Canis lupus familiaris: one gene and its partners. The protein of the gene in region 1 interacts with the protein of each later gene in a pairwise test. Links are inferred from orthologs where the notes say so. Each region holds a gene or a part of one and is shown in the gene's direction. Other genes may lie near its edges. The genes, in order: STAT3, SRI, BLK, RPA2, GADD45GIP1 and BMX.

Evidence for each region.
Region 2: the proteins of STAT3 (region 1) and SRI interact in binary tests that used the Homo sapiens proteins (3 or more experiments, as listed by UniProt). The link is inferred for Canis lupus familiaris from reciprocal best matches to the Homo sapiens genes STAT3 and SRI.
Region 3: the proteins of STAT3 (region 1) and BLK interact in binary tests that used the Homo sapiens proteins (3 or more experiments, as listed by UniProt). The link is inferred for Canis lupus familiaris from reciprocal best matches to the Homo sapiens genes STAT3 and BLK.
Region 4: the proteins of STAT3 (region 1) and RPA2 interact in a two-hybrid assay, tested with the Homo sapiens proteins (2 studies listed by BioGRID and IntAct, with this or other methods). The link is inferred for Canis lupus familiaris from reciprocal best matches to the Homo sapiens genes STAT3 and RPA2.
Region 5: the proteins of STAT3 (region 1) and GADD45GIP1 interact in binary tests that used the Homo sapiens proteins (3 or more experiments, as listed by UniProt). The link is inferred for Canis lupus familiaris from reciprocal best matches to the Homo sapiens genes STAT3 and GADD45GIP1.
Region 6: the proteins of STAT3 (region 1) and BMX interact in binary tests that used the Homo sapiens proteins (3 or more experiments, as listed by UniProt). The link is inferred for Canis lupus familiaris from reciprocal best matches to the Homo sapiens genes STAT3 and BMX.

The regions. Positions count from the first base shown.
Region 1 is NC_049230.1:20,483,442-20,486,941, forward strand, and holds part of STAT3 (signal transducer and activator of transcription 3), read left to right. Parts: intron 1-2,533; coding exon 2,534-2,576; intron 2,577-2,859; coding exon 2,860-2,972; intron 2,973-3,500. UniProt on the Homo sapiens protein: Signal transducer and transcription activator that mediates cellular responses to interleukins, KITLG/SCF, LEP and other growth factors. Once activated, recruits coactivators, such as NCOA1 or MED1, to the promoter region of the target gene.
Region 2 is NC_049235.1:14,252,280-14,256,476, reverse strand, and holds the start of SRI (sorcin), read left to right. Parts: upstream 1-1,397; 5' UTR 1,398-1,412; coding exon 1,413-1,715; intron 1,716-1,871; exon of another isoform or gene 1,872-1,932; coding exon of another isoform or gene 1,933-1,983; intron 1,984-2,862; coding exon 2,863-2,946; intron 2,947-4,197. UniProt on the Homo sapiens protein: Calcium-binding protein that modulates excitation-contraction coupling in the heart. Contributes to calcium homeostasis in the heart sarcoplasmic reticulum. Modulates the activity of RYR2 calcium channels.
Region 3 is NC_049246.1:26,504,762-26,508,261, reverse strand, and holds part of BLK (tyrosine-protein kinase Blk), read left to right. Parts: intron 1-759; coding exon 760-811; intron 812-2,569; coding exon 2,570-2,663; intron 2,664-3,500. UniProt on the Homo sapiens protein: Non-receptor tyrosine kinase involved in B-lymphocyte development, differentiation and signaling. B-cell receptor (BCR) signaling requires a tight regulation of several protein tyrosine kinases and phosphatases, and associated coreceptors.
Region 4 is NC_049223.1:71,871,097-71,874,507, forward strand, and holds the end of RPA2 (replication protein A 32 kDa subunit), read left to right. Parts: intron 1-472; coding exon 473-580; intron 581-761; coding exon 762-856; intron 857-1,158; exon of another isoform or gene 1,159-1,345; coding exon of another isoform or gene 1,346-1,488; intron 1,489-2,171; coding exon 2,172-2,256; 3' UTR 2,257-2,911; downstream 2,912-3,411. Other genes in the region: protein THEMIS2, read right to left, coding at 1,346-1,488. UniProt on the Homo sapiens protein: As part of the heterotrimeric replication protein A complex (RPA/RP-A), binds and stabilizes single-stranded DNA intermediates that form during DNA replication or upon DNA stress.
Region 5 is NC_049241.1:49,637,586-49,641,425, forward strand, and holds GADD45GIP1 (growth arrest and DNA damage-inducible proteins-interacting protein 1), read left to right. Parts: upstream 1-1,470; 5' UTR 1,471-1,491; coding exon 1,492-1,841; intron 1,842-2,982; coding exon 2,983-3,292; 3' UTR 3,293-3,340; downstream 3,341-3,840. UniProt on the Homo sapiens protein: Acts as a negative regulator of G1 to S cell cycle phase progression by inhibiting cyclin-dependent kinases. Inhibitory effects are additive with GADD45 proteins but also occur in the absence of GADD45 proteins.
Region 6 is NC_049260.1:11,831,767-11,835,266, forward strand, and holds part of BMX (cytoplasmic tyrosine-protein kinase BMX), read left to right. Parts: intron 1-2,765; coding exon 2,766-2,923; intron 2,924-3,500. UniProt on the Homo sapiens protein: Non-receptor tyrosine kinase that plays central but diverse modulatory roles in various signaling processes involved in the regulation of actin reorganization, cell migration, cell proliferation and survival, cell adhesion, and apoptosis.

The DNA.
Region 1 (3,500 bases):
TCCACAGTAAGTTTGTAAGGGTTAGTGTTGTCATCAGTGCGGAGGGGGGGCTCTGCTAGTCTGTCCCATCCGAATTTGCTTCTTTGGCTCCCTGGGTTCTTCTCCATCCATATCCTGATGGGGAATCTATGATTTGCCATTCTTTGTTTTTATTTCACTTCCCTTAATAAGAGAGCCTTCTGGGGGCTCCTTAAAGTCATCCTTTGAGGGTAGCTTCCCTACCCCAGTTGCTTTTGGAAAAACTGTTTTTATGTAAGGACCTCAAGCACGCACACACCCACCTTTTCCTAGGAATCCCCTCTGAGGAATTTCTTGGGATGGGGGAAGACTGGGACTTGGAAGAGGGAATTTGAGTTACTTGATAATTGGCTTCCCTCATTTCTCTGCTCTAGTGCTGGGTTTTGTTCATACTATAGGAGAGCTAACTCTCACTTCCTGTCTGCTACTTATCTTGCTTTGCAGCCGTGCTTCAGTTGGGAGATCTGTTTATCAGCCTCGACACACTACTCTTTGTTCCTTTTGCAGAGGACATTTAGGTCCAAGTGCTGGTCCTTTGGCTCATTTTGCTTTCATGATCCAAGTTCCCAATCTGAGGCCATGCCCTCCATTATCATCAGCCATCCTGCGTGACCGGGAGGCAAGGTCCTTTCCTGCCTATAGTCACCGGTGTTTTCTCAGGGGCAAGACTCCAGGCATGAGAAAGGAACCAATTACTTGAGTGCTCTGCCCACCTCCTGGGGAGGCGAGTGTAGGCAGTGGGCACTGGAGGGCTTGGTGTGGTGGGAGCATGACGAGGGGATGGGCCCAGTGCTACGGGAGTGCCTGCATTAAAGTGGGAGTCCTCTGGGAGATGGGTCTGTGCCCATCATTTCCTCTTGATTTCCATTATGAAAATATTTTTGTCCCCAGGGACAGATCATCTTCCCAGGTCTCTTCTTTCCTCCTTACTTCTCCACCAGACCCCTCAATGGCTTGAAGGAGAAAGTCCTCTCTTAGAAACAAAAGCCCCCTTACCTTACAAAATGGATGAAGTATATTGACAACCTTGTACGCAGCCATAGCTCCGCTTCGAGTCTGGGCTCTCCTCTGTTTCTGGTCTTGCTGAATCTCAGGCCGAGGCTCATTTTCTCTGCTATCTGATCACTGAGGAACTAAATCCTTTTCTGTCAGGGATGTCAGCTCCCCTCAGGTCTATGCCACAGTGGATTTATGACACCAGAACCCTGCCTGGGTAGTGTCTTTGGATTCTGCACCATGTGAATCTATTTCTTGGCCCCAGATAACCTTGGAAGGCAGTCTAGTGACCCCCTGACAATGGCTTTTCTCAGATTGTCAGCATACTTTCTGCCTCCTTAGTCTCTCTATAAACCACAAGCTTTACAGTTGTGCTGCTCTTGGCCCACCCCACACCTACCCCACCCCTGGCTCACACCTCCTAAGTGATTTGCTCACCTGAATCCCTCAGATTTCATGCCAGTGTCTCCAAGCTCCTTGACCTCTTGGTGTAAAGATTTAGCACCTAAATTCATTTATTCCAGTCCTCACATTTCTAACTACGGAATAAGAATTATAAATGACCGGGGCGCCTGGGTGGCTCTTGTCAGTTAAGCGTCTGCCTTTGGCTCACGTCATCATCCCAGGGTCCTGGGATCGAGCCTCGCATTGGGCTCTGCTCAGTGAGGAGTCTGCTTCTCCCTCTCCCTCTGCCTATTTGTGCACACATGCATATGCACTCTCTCTGTCAAATAAAATGTTTAAAAGATAAATTATAAATGACAGAGATGGGCACCTCCCTCTTCCCCTCCCTTTTAGAGGAGAAAGTGCTTTGCCCTGGGTGTCTTAGCTGTGGGAGACATAATGAGGCCCCCTGTCTTCAGCCCAGAGTGGATGGTACTGCCACACCAGGCAGGCTCCCTTAAGAGAGAGGCTGCTTTTTGTGTGATTTCACTATCCAAATGGGGAGTTACTAATATAGCTCATCTGAAAAGTAGTAGAGGCAGATGGATGCCCATTAGGAATGAAAGGTGTGACTCTGGGCCTTTCCGAACAGCACGAGCAATTTCCCCATTCTCTTCAAGACTTGGCGACTTTGGCATCTGAGCAGGACTGTGGTATCAGAGCCCAGACAGGATAGGCTCCAATCCCACCTGCAGAGACGTTATCTAAAAGACTCAGCCAGGCCAGAACACAGTCCTCAGATCACATGCAGGCAGGTCAGTGCTCACATCATCTAGGGAAAGAATGAACGCAAGGTTCTAGGCTCAGGTGGGACCAGGGTGTGCTGAAAAGTCTCTGCACGTCAGGAAGGCTTTATGGAAAAAGTTCACCTGCCAAGCTGCAAGCTCCTCGCTGGAACCCCAAGTCATACAGGGTGGTGGGCGGGCAGCCCTGAGGGGAGATGGGGTTCAAAACAACCTCTGCTCCAGGATGAGGTGAGATGCATGTCAGCCAGCGCCGTGAGGCAGCCAGCTTCCTCCTGCCCTCTACCCACAGTGGGGTCGCAATTAGTAAGTCCCACTTCTCTTCTTCCCAGGTGCTGCCCCATACCTGAAGACCAAGTTTATCTGTGTGACACCGTAAGTGGCTTCCCTTCTCAATTTGGCCTTCATTTCTGGTGTCCTCAGTTATCCTGGGAGTAGGACACTGGGTGAGAGCTACCCTGTGAAGGGCCCGAATGCCCTGGGCTCTGTGTAGTACTCAAAGTGATCTTGCGTGTTTAAAAAGCTTGAGCTTTTATTTTTCTGTTGGAGACCAGAGTTTGATGGCTTGTGTGTGTGTGTTTTGTTCTTTTTTTTTTTTTCTCCATTGTGTCTTGTCAACCCGGCCCTTTCCCCTCCTGCTGCTCCCCATTTCCTACAGAACGACGTGCAGCAATACCATTGACCTGCCGATGTCCCCCCGCACTTTAGATTCATTGATGCAGTTTGGAAATAATGGTGAAGGTGCTGAGCCCTCAGCAGGAGGGCAGTTCGGTGAGTGTTTGGTGACAGACTTGGGCCTTAGGAGGGAAGTCTGTCCCCTTTGTGTGGCCAGCCAGCCCAGAGCTGGCCCCCCATGCACTGGTAGAAAGAGGCTGTACAGCAACACTTTCCCTTAGAAACCAAATGCGCACCATGCCTGTGAGTGCAAATTTCCTAGTAGCAACATGGGAAATAGCAATAAGAAACAGTGAGGTTAACGTCAATAATATCTTTTCTGTAACCCAATAAATCCCCAATACTAGCATCTTAACACATAAGAAAAAGTTAATGAGGTTTTTTGAGGGGGTACTAAATCTTTGAAACCTGCTGGGTGTTTTACAGCAACGACCCATCTCGATTGGCACTAGCCACATTTTGATGTTCAGTAGCCACCTGTGGCTCCAGGCTGCCGCATTGAACAGGACAGCTTTAGATCTTCTTTACACATGGACAGTGAGGAACAAGTTAAGGGATGAAGGGGACTGAGCCCTTCCAGAAGATAAGACCCTGTAGGGAGGAGAGTCCATCTGGATTATCGGG
Region 2 (4,197 bases), on another chromosome or scaffold:
AAATCTTGCGATATGCTGCAACATGGATAAATTTCAAGGACATTATGCCAAGTGAAATAAGCCAATCACAAAAAGACAAATACCTGGTTATTGTAATCATATGAGGTATCTGAAATAATCAAGCTCATAGAAACAGAAAGTAGAATACTGGTTGCTAGGGGCTGGAGGAAGGAGAAATGGGGAGTGGCTGTTCAAGGGGTATAGATTTTGTCAGGCAAGATGAAAAACCTTAGAGACCCTGCGGTACCACACTGTGCATGCAGTCAACAATACTGTATCGTACTCTTAAAAATTGGTTGAGAGGGTAGACAGATCTCCCGTGCGTTGTTCTTACATACATACATACATAGAAAAAAAGAACCCCACAGAGGTCAAAGGACTCATAAAATGTCTAATCTATCTTGATAATCGCTTTGGTATTTGAAAACAATAGTCTACTTCCTACTTCCTAAATCAAACCTAAAACAGTTAATCCAGTGCAGCCCCAGGGGTCCAGGGGTTTAGCGCCGCCTTCAGCCCAGGGCCTGATCCTGGAAACCAGGGATCGAGTCCCACATCGGGCTCCCTGCATGGAGCCTGCTTCTCCCTCTGCCTGTGTCTCTGTCTCTCTCTGTGTCTCTCATGAATAAATAAAATCTTAAAAAAAAAAAAAAAGGTAATCTATAGTTTATTTGATATGTAACAACGGGGATTATAAAAATTGTTCTGACAGTTCAGGAGTTTCATTTTTGGAGTCTGATTATCCAAAAAGGGGACTTGGAAGGAAGAGAAAAACAATGACCCCAGTGGGAACACAGCCCGGGGACTTGGAGTGGAGGAACCCCGTCTACCATGCTGAGCAAGCACATCACCACACTCTGCAGGTGATCCAGTATTTGTTAAATGTTGATGACGCTCAATTTTTCCGTGCAACCGCCATAGCAAATACCCTGAATGTTGCTCATGAATGCATTTCTTTCTTTTTCTTTTTTTTTTTATGAATGCATTTCTTAAAACGATAAAATTCAGGGGGAAAAAAAATTCTTTAGGACTGAAATTACATGAGACGAAACCAAACGAAAATCTGACACCTGAATTGCTCACATCGGACTGTTCAACCAGGCGAGAAAGGAAAACGTATGCAGAGAACCATTTTCCGAATCTACCTCCGGGAAGAGTTCTAACCTCTCACCTTCCGATTTACCAGCACACTCCTAGCTGTAGTTTCCTCGTATAAAAAAGTAGCTGAGTAATTTTTTGGGAAGAGTGGTCGTATCGCCTGAATCATCGAGATAACTCTAACACCTCCTTCCCCGAGAGCCTGGGCGGGGAGGCCCTGCCAGTGAGTGGCCTCTGTCCTCCCTGGGTGTCGCCGCAGCTGAACCAGGACCGGACTGGGTGCCCTCGCGGTGAACTGTGCAACCGCAAGCCAAATGCTCTCTCGCACACAGTTCCTGAAGCTTTTTCCTGTTTTCCAAGGGCGTTTCCATGTTTTGCTCTTTCCACGCCCCCCTCCCTCCCAGGCGTGCAGGAGCGGCCCCTGGGGCCAGCGTGCAGCCCCTGCCTCCCAAAAGCGCCCTCCGCCGGGAGCCCGGGAGCCCGGGAGGCCCGACAGCCGAAGCCGCCCGCAAGGCTCGGGAGCGTCAGAACCGAGGCAGCAGGACGAAATCGAGAATCCCCGGGGCGCCGCCCTGGGTTGGGACGTGCCATTCGTGGCGCGGGGAGGAAGGCGGCGGGTGAGCGCCGCGCCGCGGGCCCCGGGCAGTCAGAGCGGGGCGGGCGCCCGCGGGGCCGGGACAGCGCGGGGCGGGGGGCGGGGGGCGGGGCCGGGGCCGGGGCCGGGGCCGGGGGCGGCTCGGGCGCGCGTCCCCCCCCGCCCGGGTGGTGCGCTCCGGGGGCGGCCCCGGCGGGAGGGAGGCGGCGCGGCGGCGCGGCGGCGGCGCAGTCTGCACCATGGCGTACCCGGGGCACCCTGGCGCCGGCGGCGGGTACTACCCGGGCGGGGTAAGTGGAGCCCGCGCGCGCTTGCGGTCGGGCCGCGGCCCCGGGGCCCCGTGGACGCCGGGAGGCCGCCCTGGGCCGCTCCGCGGGGCGGTGCCTCGCCGCAGGCCCTTGCCGCTCGGCCCCATCCTCAGGCCCCCTCCTCCTCCCCGCCTCTTCGCGCTGCGGGCGGCCGCGTGGGGGCCGAGGCGCGGGGGTGGGGGTGGGGGTGGGGGGTGGGGGGTGATGGCCCGGGAAGCCCCCCACGCCCCCTCCCCGGTGCCTGGGATGCGCGGCCTTGGGTATCGGCTTCCTCCCCCTCCCGGTTTCTTCCCCTGAGAGCAAACAGCCATTTTAATCTCGAAGGGTCCGGAGAGCCACCTCCCCTCTTTGAAAGCAAGTGAGAGATTTTTTTTAAAAGTCGGGGAAAGCCCTGGCGGAGGGAGGCCTCCTCTCGCGGCGCCGGGGTCGCGCGTCGTCCGCCCCACGGCCCAACCCAGACCCCGAAGCCGGGGTGCACCTGTCCCGGGCCGCCGCGAAAGATCCCTTAAACGCTCTAAAAGTAGAAGGAGAACACTTCGCGCCCCGCTCTTAAGTTGCTCGTCGCGGTTGCGTTTCCTCGGTAACCTGCAGGCCGGTGGGGAGCTTTAGAGTCGCTTCCCGTAGGCGGCTGGCACGATCTGCACGACTCACCGTGGTCCAAGCTGCCGGCGTTTGAATCCTGATGCGGTGAGAACGGAGAGAAGGGGTGGAATGATTGCAGCTAAAGCGTGCCCGGTGCTGGGGAGGCGAACCATCCCTGCGGAGGGCGGGCAGTTGCCTGCCTTTGCACAAAAGCATTCAGTGGTGAAAGAATAAAACTGGATTCAGCGGAATGATGCTGTTGTGCTTATTGTTTTACAGTATGGAGGGGCCCCCGGAGGACCTACGTTTCCCGGACAAACTCAGGATCCGCTCTATGGTTACTTTGCTGCCGTAGCTGGACAGGTTAGCTTTTCCCCTTAATATTCAAGAATTGTCAGAGTCTGCCTCTGTATTAGCCATGGTTAGAGTGGGATGGAAAAAAGAACTTTCCTCTGGAAAAGAATCCCTTTGCTTCTGTAAAAGAGAAAAAGAGAGAAGGAAATGGATAGTTACTTATTTGTGAATATTCAGAACAAATAGGACAAAGTGTTGCCTGTATTTATGTTAGTTCAATTCAAACTAAACATGTGATTGAATTAGGGTCAGATTAAACAGGAATAGGGGGTTATAAATATATTGTGAAGATCTGTGAAGTAGAAAGATGTTATTAGGACTATGAATTGTCAGGGTCCATGGTGGTTTCCAGAGGAGAAATTCTAGATCTGACGACCACAAGCCCTTGTTTGTACAACTTGAAGACACATACCGGTAATTATGAAGTCAGATTCTAATGAACACTTTTTTGGGTTGAATTCGATTGTTAATCAGTTACCCCCTAAGAAATAGGTTCTTGTGTTAGACTACCAGCTTCAAAATAAGAAAGTTATTACTGCCTTACTGTGAGGAAGTTAATCTTGTGAGCAGTTTGGTTTCTCTTTAAGGCTGATGCCTATTCTAGGTCAGCTCTTCCATGTCCTTAAAAGGTGTTGTGGCCTGTTGACCGAGAGAGACCCAAGTGTTAGCTCCTGGAGACCTTTCACTTCTCTTGGTTGAGCTGTAGGACGGGGTGGTGTACGTTGAGGGAGGACACATCCCTTGCTCACCAGGACACTGTGTACAGTAAATACACCGCTGGTATAACCCAGACATGTCCAGAAGGGATGTTTAGTCTTAGAAATTCGATTTTGCTTTGTTTTGATCAAAAACAAGAAATAACATAATCTTCATGTGAAGATGCTATCAAATGTTATGGGATAAAAACCCAAGGCCGCCTTTCAGAACAGCATTCTGAGAAATATAGTTGAAGAAATTGAGTGGAAAATTGTGTCTAAAACTGAAAGAGCTTCCCTTGAAGTATCTGCTTAATCTGTTAGTGATCTGTATCTTTGAAACCACAAGACAGGGCAAAGCTCAAGACTTGAGTTCTTAGATTGCCTATCCTTCCAGTCCTGTAAATGACCCCACCTGCTTACCTTGCAGCGGCCCTGGCCTACAGCAGCATATCCATTGTCTTTCACATTATTGTTCCTGCTCCTTGGTTAGAATCTACGATATGCCTGGACTTGAGGCTTGGGGTATTTTATTTTTTAAATCCCTAAAAGTAACATCTGTCTA
Region 3 (3,500 bases), on another chromosome or scaffold:
TTTTGCTTTTTCTGTATCATTACATGTGTGCATACTCCTAAAGACCATTTAGTTTAATTCTGCCCATTATGAACTTTCAATCAATCGAATCAAACAGCATGCGTTCTTCTGAGAACGGGTTGTCACATCTGCGTTACGTTTGCGAACTTCATCCACGATGATGCATGCAGCTAGATAGAGCTCAGGAGCTCCAAAGGTGGCAGAGAATTTCCTTGCATGACTCCGCCCCAGTTTGCTTATTTTTCTGTCATTAGTCATAAGGATGCTTCCCACCCTTTACAATTTTTATGTATTATTACAATTCTTTGCTGGGAGCATTCCCATACATGTTTCCTGGTACACATGTGCAAAAGTTTCTCTACAGGGAATAAACCTAGGGATATATTTGTGGAGTTTTAGGGAAATGCACTTTCAGAATAATTTTCCTGAGAATAAATACCCTTTTGCAACTTCATCATTTAATGGCAGAAGCAGCATTTGAATCCAGGTGATCATACTTTCCACCACTCCCACCCCAGTTCCATAGCTCCCTCTTACAAAGCGCACAGCCCTCTCCTCTAGCCTAGTGTATGGTCCAGGGGTCTTGTGAGGTGGTACTGGTCCCTGAGGAGCTGAAATAGCAGCTCCCTACAGACTATCCAGCGGACAGGTGCCAGCAGCCTCCTTGTCACACCAGGCCCTGCCCAGGCCTTGGGGGTTGAACTAATACAGCGTGTGTGTGTGTGTGTGTGTGTGTGTGTGTGTGCACTTCTGCTCCAGATCCTGTTTAACCACCTGACTCCTGCACCTCCAGACGCATGCTTGGACCAAGGTAAGAAGGTGCTGCCCTGGAAGCTGAGGCTCTACAGGCCACCTTCCTTGGGCCTGGGCTGGGTGCAGGCATAACAGGGGCTCAGTTAGCAGCAGCTTCCTGGAGAGGATAGGGCCAGCTCTCAAGGGTCGGAGATGAGAAGGCTGGGGATGGGGGGAGGGTGCTGCAGCAGGCAGAGCTAAGGGTGCCTCCCAGCCTTGCCCCAGGCTCCTCCTGCCCAAGGCCTCTCCAGGAACCAAGCCCTATTTCTGTACCTGAGCTGGGGTGGATTTTTTTTTTTTTAAAAAAGACTTTACAAACCGTAAATGAGACACAAAGAAAAGCATTACAGTACATACAAACAGCATAAAAATAAACCCAAGCTTTCAAAGATTCTAACTCCCAACCTCAAAAGGCAAAGGCCGATGGGTCTGTCTTCCCTCCTGCCCTCTGTCCCGTGTACAGAAACACCATCTTTCCCCCCACTTGCCCACCTACAAAAGCCTCTGCTGACCTTCTGACCACTCACCCCTCCACACACGCACACACCGTCTCTACTTCCATTCGGATGGGTACGAGGACAGTTGGCAGTTGCCTAAGGAGTGACCTTGGCCCTCCTGGGCCAGGGGTTTGGACCTTGGAGACACTCACAGGATGGCAGCATTGTTCGGAACTGGCTTACAGGAGAGCTGCACCCCAGCACCCTCATGACCCACCTGCACACAGCACCAGGAGCTCTCCAGGGCATGCACCAAGCAAACAGTACCCAGAGCCTGGCTCTGTCTGAATACTGGGGAAGCTGAAATATTGAATCAGACACGGCTCCTCCCTGAAAGAGCTCAGAGTCTGTCCAACTCATGAGCAAAGGCTGAAACGGGATTAGTTATCTTACCTGCTGTTTCTCATCCCTGCTGGGGGAATCACAATTAATTCCCGCAGGGTTTATCCTTCACTTCCTCCCAGGGGGCTCACATCTCCATAAGGAAGCCCCTGGGAAAACAATACACTAACCGCCTTTGGTACAATAACTCAAATCTCAGAACTGGAGGAGGCCACTGTCATCTATTCCAATCCCCTCTCCCCACCGTGGGGAGGTAACTGGCCCATCACACCACACATCAGTGACAAAGCTGAGTCATCCACTCCTAGGTAAGCTAGGTGGCCTCCAAGTGACCTGGAAAAGGGGTCTTGGCACCCTGGAGGTGTATAGAAAAGCCCTCCCCATTAGCAGGGGCTATTTGAACATCCATTCCAGGCACCAGCAGCGAGTCGGGGGTACTGCTGCCGGGGGCCCTGTGACACTGCCTTGGGCAGGTTACAGATCACTGCTAAGGTGGCCATGTTTCCATGAGCACTACCCCCTTTGGAATAGAGGTGGGAAGGGGCAGGCAGGGAAGGGGAAGAGAAGGGAAGCTCATGGGCCTCTGGGCCAGTAAGGAATCAGCCAACGTGCATTCCCAAACGGGATTGCAGCCACCAGCCCCATACAGCCAGTCTCCCTAGATCTTCAGGCCGCCACTCCCCTAGAGCATGGCCCTGTCCAGCCTGAGGCCTTCGACGTGGAGACCTTGTTGCCGGCAGCAAGGTCAGGAGGCCCATCTGCCAAACAGGAGTTTCCTCTGCTGTGTGGGTGGGTGAGAAGGCGCACCACAGCTGCCCCTCACCCCTGTGTCATCCTGACCTGGGGTAACCGGAGAGGGCCCACAGCACAGACTCACCCAGGCCCTGCCCTTACGCTGCTGGGCTGGAGCGTGCGGATCTCTTCCTTGTTCCCTCCAGAGGAGCGTTTCGTGGTGGCCCTGTATGACTACAGCTCAGTGAATGACAGGGACCTGCAGATGCTGAAGGGAGAGAAGCTGCAGATACTGAAGGAGTAAGTTTCTGGAATGTGGCCCCGCGGTCAGAGGCCTCTGTGTCTGCCTATCACGGCAGGACTGCCCGCCAGCCTGACCTGGTCGTCGTCCTCCTAGCTGCCATTCCGAAGTCTTCCTCACAGGGTGGTTTCCATTCGCTATCTCCCGCCCCACTGTCAAAATCCTACTCCTCCTTCAAAACCCACCTCGAACATCACCTCCTCCGTGAAGCCCTCCCAACGGGCACAGCGCTTGCCTGGCTGCTCCACCACTGCGTTGTGTGTCTCCCTTGCCAGACAAGACCTCGCGCAGGATTCCACCCATGAAATCAGCTCTATTCCCAGTGTTCCCTGTTCCCTCTCAGAAACTCCTCCAAAGTCTGCTCTCTCTCAAATGTCTGGCTTGCTCTGTGGAATCCTGTGGTTCTACTTGTGTTCTTGAACTTCTACAGTGGCCTTGAGCCCAAAGCGCGAAAGCCCCGATCTTCTGGGCCCATGTAGGCCGCCGGCTCCCCCTTTGGGCAGCAGTTCTCTGCTCTTGCTTTTGTCTTTCCCGTTCAGTCCCAACTCACTAAATTTGAAATCTGTCCCATTAATCAAGATCAAGGCTACTCACTGAAGACAGGGGCCTTCTGTGGGGGTCAGGCTGCCTGGACAAACTCTTCCCCTAGAGGCTGCATCACCCCCTTCCTCCCAGGACCAGGGACCCCTTGGGCCTGTCAGATGCTCAGCAAGTTAGCACCCCTTCACTGAGCCTGTACAGGTTCGCTCTTGCGGGCCCTCCGGGAATCCTCTGCCTCGGGAATGACATTGTTGTGGGGAGAGGGCTGTAGGGTGACCCCAACAGAGGCCTGCCTG
Region 4 (3,411 bases), on another chromosome or scaffold:
TTCAATAATACAGATTTTTTATTAAATAATTATTTTTAAAGATTTTATTTATTTATTCATGAGAGAGAGGCAGAGACACAGGCAGAGGGAGAAGGTAAAAACAAGCCATAAATAATAAATAAGTGCATGTTTGAATAGTAAAGTACCAAGGATAAATAAAGACTATTATAGCAAATCTCCAGGTAATTTTCTTCTCGATGCTAGTTTTCCTCTGGTTCCCCTCAGCAAAAATAAGGAGCTAAGAGGTACCTTTCTCTCTGTTTGATATTCTGTGCTTCAAAGAGTCACTTTATCTTCCCTTGAAATACTTGTTAATGATGACAGTCATCCTTTCCAGTGTAAGCAATTGTTATTGGGAGAATGGCTTAAATTATTTTTGTGAGCTGCTTAATCAACAGGCTATCTAACAATAACAAGGACTGTGTTTAAATTGGTAAATTTTCTAACACTGTGAACTTCTTTCTTAATTCAGCCCCCAGCAGGGAGAGCACCTATCAGCAATCCAGGAATGGGTGAAACAGGAAACTTTGGTGGGATTAGCTCCATCCCAGCAAATGGCCTCACTGTGGCCCAAAACCAGGTAAACACTGTGTGGCTCCAGAAATTCAAGACACAGGCAGTCTTAAATTTGTTACTTCCCTAATGAATCTCTAAGGTTAGGGACCTGAACCATTTCTTTCTTATAAAGGGACTCAGGTTTACATAAAGAAGTTGATTCAGAGTAGTTGCTAAAATCTTTCTCATTTGAATTGAATCTTCAGGTGCTGAATTTGATTAAGGCTTGTCCAAGACCTGAAGGATTAAACTTTCAGGATCTCAAGAACCAGCTTCAACACATGTCTGTAGCCTCAATTAAGTGAGTATTTGGTTTCTAACAACTGGAGCTCTAGAATTGTACCCATTTCAACTCACCAGGGTTTCCTGATAATGAGAAGTGAATTAAAAATAAAAATAGAACTGTCAGCTGCAGTCTCATTGACAGAAGGGAAGTTGTTCAGTCATGGAAACATAAAAAAAGAACTCAAAATGATGGTGCTTCCCGTCACATCACTGATTAACTTGTTCATTTTTTTTTTTTTTTAATTTATTTATGATAGTCACAGAGAGAGAGAGAGACAGAGACACAGGCAGAGGGAGAAGCAGGCTCCATGCACCGGGAGCCCGATGTGGGATTCGATCCCAGGTCTCCAGGATCGTGCCCTGGGCCAAAGGCAGGCGCCAAACCGCTGTGCCACCCAGGGATCCCTAACTTGTTCATTTAACAAACAGTGATTCCCATTATGGGCAAGGGATATAATTTTGTCAAAGTTGACCAGATAAAATTTGACCTGGAGGAGTGAGATCTTCAGCTCCTGGTCCTCACATGTATTGTCCCATTGGTGTTACTGTTTCCACTGTGGAGATGTGCATTTGACTGTCTGAACCTGAAACCATAGAGCGTCCTTCCAACATCTTTTGTTTCCATGTTAGACAAGCAGCTTCCTGATCCTGATGAAAGAATCAAACAAGCAGAGTATTTTGGTGCATTTTGTTAGTGTAAATCACTTGATATTCTAGGTTTACACAGAAAAGAAAGGCTTGGGTCTAATTTCATTTCCTGTTTTATAAAATGAAGATATTAATTCATATCTCAGAGTTCCAGTGATGATGAGGTACAGAAACACTGTCATGTAGTAGTTGCTCTGTAAATTATTGCTGTTATTAAATAGGCAGTTAATACTATTAATATTATTAAACATGTTACAGATACTGATCCTGAGAGCCTTAAAGGGTATGAAGGTGTTCTATTGTTTCTGCAAAAGGTCTTTCCTTTATGTCCTTCAACTTCCCAGAGGGTTGGTGGGAGGAGGAACTTTGAAAAATAGGTGTTTATACTAGGAGTTTTATGTGCATGCGGACTATATTCTTAGATCCTTGTTTCAATTTGCATAGATTGGCATTTGAGTTAGGCTCTATTTTCTTGCCTTTATACCATTTGGTAGAGGGGTCCAGGGCAGCTCTGTTAGCTATTGTCTCCATGCATTGTTTCAGTTTTGCAATTTTACTCGCACTTCTCCCCGCAAGAGTCCCCTGTGAGCAAAATCTGTGTTTGGCCATACCCAAAAGACAGTTTCCTTTCTTCTGCATCAGTTTGATAATGAGCCTTTTTTTTTTTCTTTCTTTCTTTCTAGGCAAGCTGTGGATTTTCTTAGCAATGAGGGCCACATCTATTCCACTGTGGATGATGATCATTTTAAATCCACAGATGCAGACTAACTGGATCTAATTGAGTACTCCAGGTATTTTCCAGCTGGACCAGATTTCATAATCTGTTGTCTCCAACTGTGCATATGTTTGGTCAGTTGACGTCTAGGGAGTAGGTTTCATCTAGAAAGGGTCTCATTTAACATCCTTTTGAAACTTAGTGCTCTGGCTTTTTTGTTTTGTTTTGTTTATTTTTTTTTGTTTTTAATTTTTGTTTTTATGAAGCTCAATTTTGGGCAGTTGATGAGAATATAAACCTGGGTGGACTTTCTTAAAGTTACGAATCAGCCATTTACAACATCAGGACTGATGGAAGTGGGAGAGACATACTACCAAGAGAGTTGGGCAGTATTAATTAAAGAATACTCAGGAGTTTCTGCTCCTATAATGTTCCCTGTTGAGAGAAGATGAGCAGAACTAGGGCCTTCAGCAGGGAGCTAGCCAAAAAACCTGCTAACCTCTGCCTGGTTTTGTTCCACCCTTTAGTTGGCTATATGGTATTATTTTCAGAATTGCACTTTCCTTCACCTTGTCATGACTGCTGCCGAAAGTGTGTTTTTATGAACATGAAGTTCTAGAGTCGTGACCTCATGAGAGGAGAGGGGAGAAAGAAATATTTCGATTTCAATACAAAATCCATATGTTTAATAAAAGTTCTATTGCAGAATCTGTGGAAATGTTTTTTTTTTTATTCCTAAGATGGTATAATTAATACTTTTATAATCTGAGATGTGTAGCATAGCTTGACTTGGGTTTGATATCTTGGCTTTCCCATATTTAGTTAGGATCTTGGGTAGACTACGTCAGTTCTAAAGGCCTCCCATTTCCTTATTTATGAAGAGAACTGTGTCATTTCCTCATAGGTGTGTCGTGAAGATTGAGCAAAATAAGGTTTGTAAAGCATCTACCATTGCCATTAGTAGAGGTTATAAAGTGAACCTTAATCTTGACTCTAGCAATATATGGTCACGTAACTGAATTGAATATCTATTATTTAACCTCGAGATGAGACTATCTAAAGGCCTGCAGCCTTTGGTGAGCTTAATCAGTTCTATTTCTTACAAGAGAGCAAACTAGCTCAAAGATGTTTTTGACAACTCCAGAATGTAAGGTACATCTTGAATAAAAGAACTAATTCTGAGGTAAGTTAATGAGATGTAACATGCA
Region 5 (3,840 bases), on another chromosome or scaffold:
ATCTCCAGAACTTTTTCATCTTCTCACACAGATACTCTGTCCCCATTAAACACTAACTCCCATTCTTTGTCTCTTCTGTCCCTGCCAACCACCATTCTACTCTCTGTCTCTATGAATTTGGCTATTCCAAAGACCTCATATAAGCAGAATCACATAAAATACGTCCTCTTGTGACTGGCTTATTTCACTCATCGTAATGTCTTCCAGGTTCATCCGTGTTGTATCATGAGACAGAACTTCCTTCCTTCCCTTTTTTTTTTTTTTTAAGATTTTATTTATTTATTAATGAGAGACACAGAGACATAGGCAGAGGGAGAAGCAGGCTCCACGCAGGGAGCCCGATATGGGACTTGATCCCAGGACCCTGGGATCATGTCCTGAGCCAAAGGCAGGTGCTCAACCGCTGAGCCACCCAGGTGTCCCCGAATTTCCTTTCTTTTTAAGGCAGAAATCCTGTTTTCAAAAAACACTGTTTAATTGCTACCCCATGGTTAAATATTTTAAATATTTTTAAATATGAATAATTAAATTAGGGGCGCCTGGGTGGCTCAGTGGGTGAGCATCTGCCTTTGGCTCAGGTTATGATCTGGAGGTCCTGGGATTGAGCCCTGCTTTCAGGGAACCTACTTCTCCCTTGCCCTCTGCCACTCCCCCTGCTTGTGTTCTTTCACTCTCTCAAATAAATGTTTAAAAATTAAAAGGCACAAAGTAACAAGATGTTTACAATAAAATTTAAAATAAAATTTCTACAGAAATATCTTAATCATACAACTTTAAATATTTTAAAGTATAAATTTAAATATTTAAAATAATTGTCTTGGTGAGGCTTTAAATAATTCTTTAAAATGAAAATCTTGAGATCTTAAAAAAAATTTTTTTTAATATTTTATTTATTCATGAGACAGAGACGCAGAGACACAGGCAGAGGGAGAAGCAGGTTCCAGGTAGGGAGAGTGATGTGAGACTCGATCCCTGAGCCACCCAGGCGTCCCTTCAAAATCAAATTTAAAAGCACAAAATAAAGCATAAAAATAAATATCTAATGTTATGTATGAACAATATTCGAGTATTTAAAATGGAATTTAAATATTTTAACGAACATCTTAAAAAGACTCTAGTTAAAATATAAAGTAATATGTAGATTGAAATTCAAACTGAAGCAATATTTAAATTTTTAAGTAGTTTGAAATTTAGACATTTAAATTTTGAAAGAAATCAAATGCTACTTTAAATGTATAAAAGTAAAATTTGGTATAATTTTAAGAAATAGCTACTAAAATAAAATTTTAAATTTTATTTAAAATAAATAAGAGATGAGATGTATAAAAAAATGTATGTTTGAGATGTATAAAAATATATTACCCCCTTCTCTCCCCTGCCTGGGGCTGGGGCACAGGACGCCCCTCGCTCCGCCCCGGCGGCCATCGGACCTCGCGCGCAGGCAGTGCGGTGGCCAGCCCGGCCGGCCCGCGAGGACCCCGCACAGCCAAGATGGCGGCGCCCGTGCGGCGAGCGCGCTGCCTGCTAGGGCTGCCGGCGAACCTGGGCCGCGGCTCCCGTGATTACCGGGCGCCGCCGCCCCCACGCCGCTTGCCAGGGCCCTGGTGGCCAGACCCGGACGACCCGCTGACCCCGCGCTGGCAGCTGGGGCCGCGCTATGCGGCCAAGCAGTTCGCGCGGCACGGCGCCGCCTCCGGGGTGGCCCCCGGTTCTCTGTGGCCGTCGCGGGAGCAGCTGCGCGAGCTGGAAGCTGAGGAGCGCGAATGGTGCCCGAGCCTCGCGGCCATGCAGGAGTCGCTGCGGGTGCAGCAGCTGGCGGCGGAGCAGAAGCGTCAGGCCAGGTGTGTGCGGTCGGGCAGGCGCGGGGCTGTGGGCGGAGGCCCTCCTGTGTGCAAGGCTTTCCCAGGTGCTGAGCACATAGCAGAGAACAAGATAATTTCAGATGGCAACAGTGAACCATTAGGAAGATAAAATTGGGTGGAAAATATGTGTGCTGCAGAGCGACTCTGGCTTGTGAGACCTAGAAACTCTCTTAAGAACTCGATCCTTAGGGACTTGACCAGACATAGCGGTGGAGAGATCTTAGGGAGAGTGTTCCTGGTAGCAGGAACAGCTGGTGCAAAGGCCCTGAGGTAGGAATATGCTAAGGTCAGTGTGGCGGGGGACGAATGGGAAGTGATGGGGCCTGGAATCAATGCAGAGGTTGGACTTGGAGACAGGTCTTAAGCATTGGGCTTGAAAGAACTCAAGACTAGGAAAGAAAGTCGGGATGCTGCCACTTCGGGAGGGAGCAGGCCAAGTGCCCTCCTGGTTTTCATTGTTCTTGTCCTCGTAATAGCTGTAGGAGTACGAGAGCATCACCCTCATTTTAGAGATGAGAAACTGAGGCCTGGAAGTTTGGAGTCATATGTCTAGTCACCCCATCAATGAACAGTGGAGCTAGAATGTGAACCTCAGTCTCTGTCCCATCCCAGCTGGATAACCCTGCTGTGGGGCTTTAGATCTTTCAGCTTCATGTTTCTAATCCTCAAAATGGGGACTGTGACTGGCACCTACAAACTCACAGAACTGGAAGGAAAGATCCAATCCATTTCTTGCCTTTACAACTGGGCCTGGCATACAGGAGGTGCTCAGCGATGTCTGCAGGATGAGAGTGTGCTGTGGGAAAGGCCATATGGTGTGTAGCTCTGGGATGGCTCAGTAGACAGCTCAGTGAAACACTGAGTTGACTTGAGGTCTCCCCTGAGGGGTTTAGTGCTCTTGTGCTCAGGGTCATACACAAGTTAATCCACCTCTCCTGCCTGTTACTTCGCTTGTCAAGGACTTTTCCTGACAGTTTTAACGACCCCCGGAAGCCTTCCCAGTTTTTCATCTGAGTTAGAGGAATCAGAATGTGGGCAGACTAGGGGTGGGCTGTGGTTGGATGGGTGCTCCTCTTCTGGCTGGCTCTTGCTATCTTCACCACTCTACCCTCCCCTGCAGGGAGCAGCTCATTGCAGAGCGCATGGCCAAGATGCCACAGATGATTGAGAACTGGCGGCGGCAGCAGCAGGAGCGCAGGGAGAAGGAACAGGCAGACAAGGAGAGGCGGGCCCGACTGCAGGCCGAGGCCCAGGAGCGCCTGGGCTACCACGTGGACCCAAGGAGTGCCCGCTTCCAGGAGCTGCTGCAGGACCTGGAGAAGCAGCAGCGCAAACGCCTCAAGGAGGAGAAACAAAGACAGAAGAAGGAGGCACGAGCTGCGGCACTGGCCACTGCTATGGCCCAAGACTCTGCAGCACCCAGCTCCTGAGCTAGCCTTTCCCAATAAAACCTGCCACCTGATGGCCCCAGCCCTGGAGAATTCTGTGTCCTCTCTCATCATGCCCCTTCCTCAGCGCCCCAACACCTGTGGCCAGGAGCCCCCCACCCTTCTGGGCTTGGCTTCCTTGGGGACTCTAGGCCATGCTAACTGGGGCTTCAGGGGAAGAAAAGGGGTTGCGGTGGGGGAAAATAATGCAGGAGCAGATGGCAGAAGAGAAGAAGGCTTCTGTTTACCAACATTAATCTCCAGTAATTAGCCAATTACTAGGGGGGGAAGTGTAGCCAAAACAGACTGTGGTGGTGATGGTGGGGGGCAGGGAGAAGCAGCCCTTCCAAGGCTAGGCTGGGGCCCACTGCCTGGGAATGAGACAGCCTCAGAGGGGGGTGTGAGACACTGGGAGCCCCAAACTGCAGAGGCCAACGGACCACTGCCATATCACCTGTGCCCAACTAGCCCCCAGACCCAGACGAGCTGGAACAGGAAGCCCCAGTAGGCACACACCACCGGACTGGCTTTTAAAACTTTATTCACTTCAA
Region 6 (3,500 bases), on another chromosome or scaffold:
TTTTTTTTTAAGATTTTATTTATTTATTCATGAGAGACACAGAGAGAGAGAGAGAGGCAGAGACACAGGCAGAGGGAGAAGCAGGCTCCATGCAGGGAGCCCGATGCGGGACTCGACCCCAGGACCCCAGGATCATGACCTGAGCCAAAGGCAGACGCTCAACTGCTGAGCTTCCCACGCGTCCCCCTCTAACAGTTTTTAGAGAGGAGCCCTTAAAAACTAGAACCGAGTTTGCGTGAAACCCAAAATGTTGAAGGGCTTGAGATGTAGTCTTGGACGTCCTGCATGAAAGCAGCTGTGACCACCATCCCCTTTGGCATCGACCAACCCTTTGGGCATGCCTGGTGCAAGCCCCAAACACGGCTCGGTGCTGTGTGCAGCTCATACTCATTTCAGCTAGCATCCTCGTTAAAATTCATCACTAGATCAGGGGTCAGCAAACCTTGGCCCGGGACCAAACCCAGTGGCCTGTTGCTGTAAATAAAGTTGTCCTGGAGCAAGCCTTGCCCACTCGTTCCTGTATTGTGTCTGATTTCCTACTGTAACCGCAGAGTGGGGTAGTTGCCAGAGATGCTGTACCACCTACAGAGTTTAAAAATACCTGCTATGTGACCCTTCACAGAAAAGGTTTGCTGACCCCTATTTTATTAAAGAGCCATACTGAAATTGAGTAAAGGTAATTAGAGGACAGAAATGATTCTTAAGTTGCGATTAGGTGGATTTTCTGATCTTTCTATGCTACGAGAAACGTCAGGCCTGCTTACGATCACTGTCAGAGGGATGCAGGGTAAATTATCCAAATTATCATAAAGTTATGGATATATGAACTGCAACTGAGACCTATTGCATGTCTATCTTGGTCCATAAGCATAATTTGACTTTTTATATGACATCCAAAAGACTGCATGAGTAAAAGAAAATTTAGTTAGCCATTTATTTTTTTACACGACACACATTTTTAAAATACTACTTTTGTCAAAGTAGTATCGTTCACTTAAAAAAATAATTCAATGTACGCAGAAGAAAGAAAAGCCACGAAGATAGCATTGTGGTGAATACTTGACATCCTTTATGGGCTGATTAACTTGTCAAAATTAGTTTCACTCTCCATGTGTTGATACGCCTTATGAAAGATGCTTTTAAAACTCAGTATCCTTACTCAAGAGTTACAGTTTGTTTTTGACCAAAAAGTGGCATCACCGGGCTTGATTACTCCCCCTAGGAACTAGAAGTTGGCTCCGGATATTTTCTGGCTATTTGCAAACACTAAATCCATTCAGAAGTAATTTGTTTCCAATGAGGACATTCAAAATGAACCAGGGCCTCTGAAAACAATTTTTTTTTTTTTGAAAACAATTCTCAAAGGAGAGGAGGCTCAAAGGAGAGGAGGCCCCACGGATATTTGAAACAATATTACTTTTGGGATAAGTGGATTTGAATATTTGAATTTGTGGATTTGAATAAGTGGATTTGAATATTTGAAACAATATTACTTTTGGGATAAGTGGACCTTCAAAGACAGAACTGTGAAGGGAGCAGTATACTCTTGGATGGTTGTTTTAGAAGGTTGTTTAAAAAAAAAATACAGGGCAGCCGGGATGGCTCAGCAGTTAGCATCACCTTCAGCCCAGGGCCTGATCCTGGAGTCGTGAGATCGAGTCCCACGTCGGGCTCCCTGTGTGGAGCCTGCTTCTCCTTCTGCCTCTGTGTGTGTGTGTGTGTGTGTGTGTGTGTGTGTGTGTGTGTGTCTCATGAATAAATAATAAAATCTTAAAAAAAAACAGCCACAGCAACTTGTAATATTGCCTTATTGTAAATATTTTACATAAAATCTGTGGCCCTGAAAGTCAAAGAAATTTTGAAGTTAGTCCTTCAGGTACGGTTCTAGAATAATTTTCTTCCTTCTTACATATTTCTGGCTGCCCAAAGTCTCGAAGCTGGCCGACTGTTGAAATCCTGCGGCTAGGCCGGGACGACAGCACACTGGCCACCACGCAGGGAGCACGCGTAGCGGCAGGTGCTTTCTCCTGGCCGTGCTCGCGGCAACCCTGGGACGTGCCCCCCCCCCCCCCGCCGGGGAGGAGACGGGAGCGTGCTCGGAGGGTGGCTGAGGCGCTGCCAGGCCTGTAAGCGGCAGAGGCGAGCTCGAGGCCGCAGCCGCCGCGGCCAGGACCCCGTATCTAGACCCGGAGTCCGCGGCGGCCTCCGAGGGGCTTCGGGACACCGTGACCATCCAGAGAGCGAGCACAGACGTGCCGGGCACTCACGTTCCCGAGAGAGAGCCAGTGGTGGTGATCAGAGTCTCAAAAGGACACCTGACCCACAACATACCAGGGACCATCGAGGCAAAAGGAGGAATTTTGTCAGTGATCTTTCCTGTAAATCCGCTCGGGCGGCCGATTTGACGGGGCGGTGAGACGTGGCACAGCCGCCGAGGCAGAGAGAAAGGAGGGGCTGGGCTGGGGTTGTCTGTCCGGGGGTGCGGGGGGACGAGGCCCCAGCCGCCTCTCGGAAGCACCCCGGAATCTTGGCCCCCAGTAGCCCCCCTGCAGCTGCCTTCCCGATGGCCCGCTGGCCGGCAAGAGGAGGACCGTGGAGAAGGGACGGTGGGCTCCGGAGGCGAGGGCACAGGGCCACCTTCCACGCCCGGGCCTCTGGCTGGGACTGGTTCCCCGGGCTCCCTCGCCCCGGCCGGAGCCTCCCCGAGCCTGCACCTGCTGACACGGCCTTTCCTTTGTCCGCCGGCCGCCCTCCGTGTGCCGTAGGGATCCTGATGTGGGAAGTGTTCAGCCTGGGGAAGCAGCCCTACGACCTGTACGACAACTCGCAGGTGGTTGTGAAGGTCTCCCAGGGCCACCGGCTCTACCGGCCCCAACTGGCGTCGGACACCGTCTACCAGATCATGTACGGCTGCTGGCACGAGGCAAGTGCACCCCGGGGGGCCGGCGGCGGGTGCGCCCAGGGCGGTTGCCCAGGACCCGTGGGCCGGGCCGCTTTGACCGAAGCGCCTGCCCCGGGCGGGCCCAACGGGCCTCAAGCGTTCGGGAGTGAAACCCAGCAGCGCGGCCGCGCAGGTGCAGGTGCAGGTGCAGGTGCAGGGGCTACCAGCGTAACGAGCCACTTACGTCCAGCACCGTTTGAAGAACTTCATAAATATATATATTTTAAAGATTTTATTTATTTATTCATGAGAGAGAGAGAGGCAGAGACACAGGCAGAGGGAGGAGCAGGCTCCACGCAGGGAACCTGACGTGGGACTCGATCCCGGGACTCCAGGATCACGCCCTGGGCCCAAGGCAGGTGCTAAACCACTGAGTCACCCAGGGATCCCTAGAACTTCATAAATATTAACCCATTTGTTCATCAGGCAACATACTAGGAAGTACGTGCTATCGCGGCCAAAACTAAGAGGAGAGGGGCAGCCCGGGAGGCTCAGTGGTTTAGCGGCGCCTTCGGCCCAGGGCCTGATCCTGGAGACCCGGGATCGAGTCCCACATCAG